Linked DNA regions of Yarrowia lipolytica. The protein of the gene in region 1 purifies or fractionates together with the protein of each later gene. This does not show direct contact. Links are inferred from orthologs where the notes say so. Each region holds a gene or a part of one and is shown in the gene's direction. Other genes may lie near its edges.

Region 1 (3,602 bases):
ATTGTTTACATTTCAGCCCCAAAAATCCACATTCATCTCCACAAAATAAACTTTGACTTGTTGTGAGCACTGTACTCCCAAGACTCACATCTAAAACATCGTCAGTCGTCCCTAACTCGCCTCACACAACCGGAGGGGCTTCCGGCGGTTAATTCCTAGAACGAAAACACTACACCCAGCACTGTGAACACAAAAACCACCCTAATTATCCTCTATACTAGCTCCCACGGCCAGTGTTTACAAAGACCCGGTTCTCTTGATTAGGTTAGGGTTGTACAGTATGCGGCTACAGCTGTAAACATAACATTGATCGGCGGACGGTGTCAAGGGCCCGATGTTGGTGCGTGGGAAACTGATAGAAGCGATACCATAGCACCTTGTACTGTACAGGGAACCTCTGGGAGTATGTAGGGTGCTTCTAAGGTGTATCTACAGAGTGTTTTGACAGAATTGATGATTTGGAAAGTGTTGATTTTGGGGCAGAATCAAACCCGGAAGGTAGATAACAACACTGCCAATGGACTCACCAGAACCACGACAGTCCATTGAAGCCCTTTCCACGCCAATTTGACGCAAATTCACCTTCTTCAACCTCATTCCTTCTGTTGTTTCGATACTATGTTGCTGTGACAACCCCCGAACCTAATGCCCAATATGGCAATAACCCAACTGAAGCCGAACAATATAAGCACTGGGCCATGGCCTACCACTGAACACACAACACTACATCACCATCTTGACACTCGGTCACCAATTACCCAAAAAAATAAAAGAAGATGTTCAAGCGACCAGATCCCTTGAGGCCTCTGGGCAGCGAGCATCGAGACAATGTCGTCAACCCCATGAAGCTGCGGGCAGGCAAGGAGAACAACGACGCCTATCACAACAACAAGTACACCTCGGAGAACCAGCCACAACCAACAACCCCGTACTACACCGGCAAGGGCAACTACTACAATCCCAGCAGCAAGCCCGCCGTGAGCAGTGCCCATGCTGCTGCCGCCGCTGCCGCCATTGCCCCTACAGCCTCCTCCAGAGCTCCCACAGCCGCTACTCACAAGACTCCCCGGAAAAAGGAAAAGCTTTCCAGCTTGTGCAAGACTCCTCCTTCTCTCATCAAGAGTCGAACCGGCGACCACTTCGCCCGGGGCTCGTGTCTGGGCGAGGGTGGTTTCGCTAGATGTTTCCAGGTGAAGAATGATGCTGGCAAGACCTACGCTGCCAAGACGGTGGCCAAGGAGAGCGTGCGCAACGAAAAGACGAAAAACAAGCTGCTGGCGGAAATCAAGATCCACAAGTCGCTAAAGCACCCCAACATTGTCGAGTTCGTCGACTGCTTTGAAGACGACCACAATGTGTACATTCTTCTGGAAATGTGCTCCAACCAGAGCATGATGGAGATGCTGCGGGCCCGAAAGGGATTTACCGAGGGCGAGGCAAAGTACTACATGGTGCAGATTCTCGGCGCTATCAACTTTATGCACAGACGACGAGTCATCCACAGAGACCTCAAGCTCGGCAATATCTTCCTCGACGAGCACATGCATGTCAAGATTGGAGACTTTGGACTTGCTACGGTTCTGGACAAGCCCACCGACCGACGGGTCACCATCTGTGGCACCCCCAACTACATTGCTCCCGAGGTTCTTGCTGGCAAGCATAAGGGCCATTCGTTTGAGGTCGACATTTGGTCTGCTGGTGTCATTCTATTCACCATGGTCACAGGTAAGCCTCCATTCCAGTCCAAGGACGTGGAGACCATCTACCAGCGAATCAAGAAGAACGACTGGAAGTTTCCCGCCGATCTTCCTATCAGCAGCGAATGCAAGGATCTTGTTCGACAGATGCTAGTTGGAGATCCTCACCAGCGTATCAACCTGGCCAACATTCTCAAGCACCCATTCTTCTTCACTGACTTCCCCGCCTCCATTCATCCTCAGGCTGCTAAGCTGAGACAACCTGAAACCCGAGTCAGCTACACTCAGTCACACAAGAATTTTGAGGCCATCAAGATTGCCGCCAGACTCGATAGCAGACACCTGGCACCCCGATCGACATCTCCTCCCGTCACAATTGAGCGTCAGGACGTTGAGGCCGACCAGCCAGCCAAGATTCTCCCCCAGTCTCTGTCTCCGGCTTCCACCAAGGAGAAGTACAAGATGGTTGACGTCAAACCCGATCCCCAGGGTCCCCAGGCGATTGAAGCCGACCGGCGAGTCATGGAGAACGTGCCTCAGTCTATGAGCCTCAAACCCCAGAATCAGCTCTTCAAAATCTTTCATGAGGCACTGGACAGGCAACTCCGAAGTGGACCCTCACACCACAACTCCAGTGGCCGGGCAGACGAGAAGACCATCTTCATTTCCAAGTGGGTGGACTACTCCAACAAGTTTGGATTTGCCTACCAGCTGTCGTCCAACGTCGTCGGCGTTCTCATGGAGCAGGAAAAAACCATTCTTATGGACATGCGGTACGAGGAGCATCTGTTCCAGGTGGTGATGGAGCAGGAGGCAAAGGACGTGGCCACCCGAAGCAATCCCAAGAGCAACTGGTCTATTGACACCTTCACGAGCACACAATATCCTGCCGAGCACAAGCACCGAATCAAGCTCGTCAAGCAGTTCCACAAATTCATGAACGACCATCTGTGTATGGTGGAGGACGAGAAGGAGATTGGCCTGGACATGGTGTGGGTACTGAGCTGGCAGCGGTCGGCCGGATTCGTGGTCTTTCACCTGTCCAACGACTCGTTCCAGTTTAACTTTGAGGATCACTGCAAGATGGTCATTAGCCACTGTGGTCAATCCATGATGTTCATCGACGACGACAAGATGTTCCACCACTGGACGCTGGACGAGGCCTGCATGCACGCAGGAGAGGGACACTGGAATCTTCAGGAAAAGTTGGTGCGTGTGTACCAGTACTTTGAGGGTCTCCTTAACTAGAGAGGCTCAGAGACTCCGCGCAACAATTGTTGTGTCATTAAATTAGCTAACTTAATAATGCATGATACCATAATATTTGTGGGGAGAAAGTAGGGTGTCTATATCGAAGTTTTCGTCTGAAAAAAGTGGAATCTGTCTCATTCATGTGGCGAATAATGAGGAGGCTAAAACAAGGAAATGCTAAAACGGAATAATCATTTGGTTCGAAAAAAAAAGATTACAGCACCCAGGATTCTCGTATGGTTCTTCCACTTACAATACCTAACTAGGCTTTTCTGGTGCTTGACTATGGCTTAATCGGACGGGAAGCCGTATTTTCACCAGGGATATGGCCGGAAACCAAAGACTCGATACGGGGAATCGAACCCCGGTCTCCACGGTTCTCAGAATGAGAGCGTGATGTGATAGCCCCTACACTATATCGGAAGGTTAAAACAAAACCTTATTGGGTCAATAGAACGTGATATGAAGACCACGTGACCATTTTTGATTTGTCTTATTGCGAGAGCCTGAGAGGATCTATGAGAATAAATCCAGTGTGGGGTTGTTAAGAGCACTTTAAATACATGCCTTAGATATAAACATGACTGTTAGAGGAGTGTTGTTGCTGGTATCATTGTTGTTGCTTTTCATGAAAGTGACAGCTACAAGTCCACA
Region 2 (3,757 bases), on another chromosome or scaffold:
GGGTAAGAAGCGAACCTTGTCGCGGAGTGGCGGTGGCAAAATTTAGAGAAACAGGAACATGGAGGGGGGGTCAGTGGATATCCTCTTTACTGCCATATTCTGAGCCTCTGCTCCTTCTTTTCCTTCAATTTCTGTACTGGTCCAACCATTTCGAGGTCCATGGTAGCGTCGTCTAGACTACCCCCTAAACAGTATCATACATGCGCATCTTTTATTGTTTACGCGTTCGCATCAAAAACTTTAGGCAGGCTACTGGACGAGCGATGCATACAGTATTTGGAAGATTGAGACTTGAATACGTCTGAAAAAAACACAAAAAGATACGATATTTCCCCTCGAGCTTGGAGATAACTGATTTTCCTGTCCCAATTCCAATCGGTATTCGCCATCACCCCGCATTGAGTTGTTTTCAACTGAAGATCAGTGGTATAGGCTTGTAGTAATAGTCTTGTCCAGACAGTATCGATCCACAGCAGCTCGACCGGAGCAACCAGTTTTGACGACAACAACAGTCGTTATCATTGATGTTCTACAGATAGTACCAGTCCGTTGAGGTTTGGTTTGATAGCTTCTGAATCGTGTGGAGCTGAATTCGCGTGGAGCTCTGAATTATCGTGCGTGTGGTTCGCAATGTCTATAACGAGAAACCAGCAAGTACTTGTACTTGAGTTATATTTTTGTTTTCTTCGTAATTTACAAAGTATTTCTTTTTTTTTCTTTTATTTTTTTTTTTTCTTTTATTTTTTTTATTTCTTTTATTTCTTTTATTTCTTTTATTTCTTTATTTTCTTTTATTTCTTTTACTGTATTTTTATTCCAAAATAAAGTTTAGATGGACGCGAGTGAAATGTAAATTGTCATTCTACCACCAACACGCGTACACTTCAACACAACATCACCACACACCATCACAACACCATCACAACACTATGGGCACCCTCAAGGCTATTGAGCTGTGCAACTTCAAGTCGTACCGTGATACGCACCGTGTGGATCTCGGTGACTCGTCGTTCTCGGCCATCATCGGCCCCAACGGTTCGGGTAAGTCCAACATGATGGACGCCATCTCGTTTGTGCTCGGAGTGCGGTCTTCGCAGCTCCGATCCACCCAGCTCAAGGACCTCATCTACCGAGGCCGAATCATGCGTGGCGAGGAAGTCAGCTCGACCCAGTCTCAGGAAGCCACGTCGGCATACGTTCTGGTGGAGTACGAAAAGTCAAATGGAGACCTACTCAAGCTCAAGCGAACCATCACACCCTCGGGCACGTCTGAGTACCGAATCAACAACAAGGTCACGTCGTCAGGCGAATACAATGCCACCATGAAGAAGGAAAACATTCTGGTCAAGGCCCGAAATTTCCTGGTCTTCCAGGGAGATGTGGAGCAGATTGCCAGTCAGTCGCCTCAAGACTTGTCCAAGCTGATTGAAATCACCTCTGGCTCCATCGATCTCAAGCCCGAATACGACCGTCTCAAGGAGGAGCTAGATGTCCAGACTGAGCGAAGCAACGCAGCCTGGCAGCGACGACGTACCTACAACGCTGAGAAGAAGCACTACGTTGAGCTCAAGGACCGTTACGACGCGTACACCGCCAAGGCCGCAGAGCGAGACGAGGCCGTTGTGAAGCAGCAGCTGTGGAGACTGTGGCAGGCCCAAAAAATCGAAGATGAGGCCCGAGACCAGATTGAAGGTGGAGACGCTGCTATCCAGAACGCCGAGGGGGCTGTTCAGGAGGCTGCTCAGGAGGTGGAAAACGTGGCTGCCAAATATGCCAGCGACAAGAAGCGGCTGCTCAAGCAGGAGCGTTCGGCAAAGAAGCGAGCAGACGTCATTCTGGAGCACAAGCAGCAGCTCGTGCCTGTGGCTGAACGTATTGCTGTGGTGTCCGGCAACATTTCGCGTCACGAGGCTCGGTACGGCACTGTCGAGGCTGACTTACTTCGACACCAGGACGAAGTCAAGCAGACTCGAGGCTCTCTCAAGATGGTTCAGGATGCCTCCAGTGAGTTTGAACGAGATCTGTCATCGAAGCAGAAGGAGTCAGGCGGAGTTATTCGAACTGATGAGGACGCGGCCGAGTATAGCACGCTGAAAAATGAGGTGCACAAGCGGTCGCTGGCTGAGCAGGCTGAGATTGAGACGGTGAAGCGAAAACTCAGACCTGTTCTGGACCATAAGCGAGCTCTGGAGCAGGCACAGGAGGACTCGGAACTCAAGGTCAAGGAGTTTAAAAGCGAGTTTGGCGTCTACCAGACCCAACTGAAGGAAGCTGAGGAGGTACTCAAGACCCACCAGTCTGCTCTGAGAACTCAGAGTGAGTCTCTGGCTCGGGTTGTGGACGAACAGACTACCCGACGACGTGTCGAGCTGGAGCTTGGCGACAAGCTGGGTGTTGTGGCTAACCGTCTGATTGAGCTAAATGCGGTCAAGCGACAGACTGAGCGAGAACGACGACTTAAAGAGACTGTTGCCAACCTGAAGCATGTTTTCTCGGCACAGAAGGTCCACGGTCTCGTCTACGACCTGTGCAAGCCCAAGGAGAAGCGACACGATCTTGCTGTGGAGACCATTCTCGGTAAGGACATTGATTCCATTGTTGTGGACAGTTTCAAAACTGCACAGGACTGTATTGCATACCTCAAGGAGCAGCAGGGCGGTCTTGCCTCGTTCATTCCCCTCGATACTATCAAGGCCATGCCTGTCAACTCGTCGTTGCGGTCGCGTCTTCGTGGGGCTGTACTTGCCATTGATGCCATTTCCTTTTCGTCTCAGTACGAACGGGCTTTCCAGTACGTTTGTGGCTCGGCCATTGTGTGTGACGACCTTAAGGAGGCTAAACGCCTTGGATGGAGCCTGAATGTCAAGGCTGTGACCACCGATGGCTCCGTGATTCACAAGGCTGGTCTTATGACTGGTGGTACTACCCAGAAGGGCCACCATGGCGGCAAGCGAGCATCCAAATGGGACGAGTCTGAGGTTACAAAGCTCCAGGCAGAGAAGGATGCTCTGGTTTTGGAGCTACAGACTGTTGGTCGGCAAAAGTTTGACCCCGAGCGTCAGGATACACTGCAGCGTGAGGTTGACAAGGTGCGACAGGAAGTGTCTGCTGCCCAGAAGCATGTTGCCAGCCTGAAGGACCGTCTCAAGGATATCAATTCGCAGCTCAAGTACTACAGCGAGGAGGCTGCCAAGAGCAAGAAGCAGATTGCCAGCACCGCCAGTGATCTCGAAAAGCTCGAGACACAGAAGGCCACCATTCAACAACGCCTTGACGAAGTCTGGTACACCGTGTTCTCGTCTTATTGCACTCGTGTCGGCGTGACTGTTGAGGACGTGTTTGCATATGAACAGACCCATGGCTCTCTCTCCGCTGGTGCCGAGCGAAAGCGGCTCGCATTCTCTCAGCAGATTGCTACTCTCGAGTCACAGCTCAAGTTTGGCTCCAAGCGTGTGGACGAGTGCAAGGGGCGACTGGCCAAGATTCGACAGTCTATCGATGATGACAAGGCAGCTGTGGATGGCTGGGAGGCCGATGAGGCCCAGCTGAGAGAGGACATTGGTATTCTGGAAGAAAAGGCTCGAGCTGAGGCAAAGCAGGTTCAGAAGCTCACAGCTGCCGTTCAGAACGCGTCAACTGAGTCCAACGCTGCCAAGGAGCATCTTTCCCGAGCTCAGGGCGTGGTCGATAACCTGCGACGAAAGCTTGCCCAGTCTGAGACCGAGCTTGAGACTGCTGCTACTCAGCGGTACGAGGT

Evidence for each region.
Region 2: the proteins of YALI1_D34395g (region 1) and YALI1_E18843g purify together in Saccharomyces cerevisiae (affinity purification with mass spectrometry, with the first as the bait; 3 studies listed by BioGRID). This does not show direct contact. The link is inferred for Yarrowia lipolytica from reciprocal best matches to the Saccharomyces cerevisiae genes CDC5 and SMC1.

The regions. Positions count from the first base shown.
Region 1 is NC_090773.1:3,438,718-3,442,319, forward strand, and holds YALI1_D34395g (uncharacterized protein), read left to right. Parts: upstream 1-776; coding exon 777-2,945; downstream 2,946-3,602. UniProt on the Saccharomyces cerevisiae protein: Protein kinase required for the cell cycle where it is involved in mitotic exit. A component of the fear (CDC14 early anaphase release) network which promotes CDC14 release from the nucleolus during early anaphase. Phosphorylates SCC1/MCD1 and NET1.
Region 2 is NC_090774.1:1,881,526-1,885,282, reverse strand, and holds the start of YALI1_E18843g (uncharacterized protein), read left to right. Parts: upstream 1-929; coding exon 930-3,757. UniProt on the Saccharomyces cerevisiae protein: Involved in chromosome cohesion during cell cycle and in DNA repair. Central component of cohesin complex. The cohesin complex is required for the cohesion of sister chromatids after DNA replication.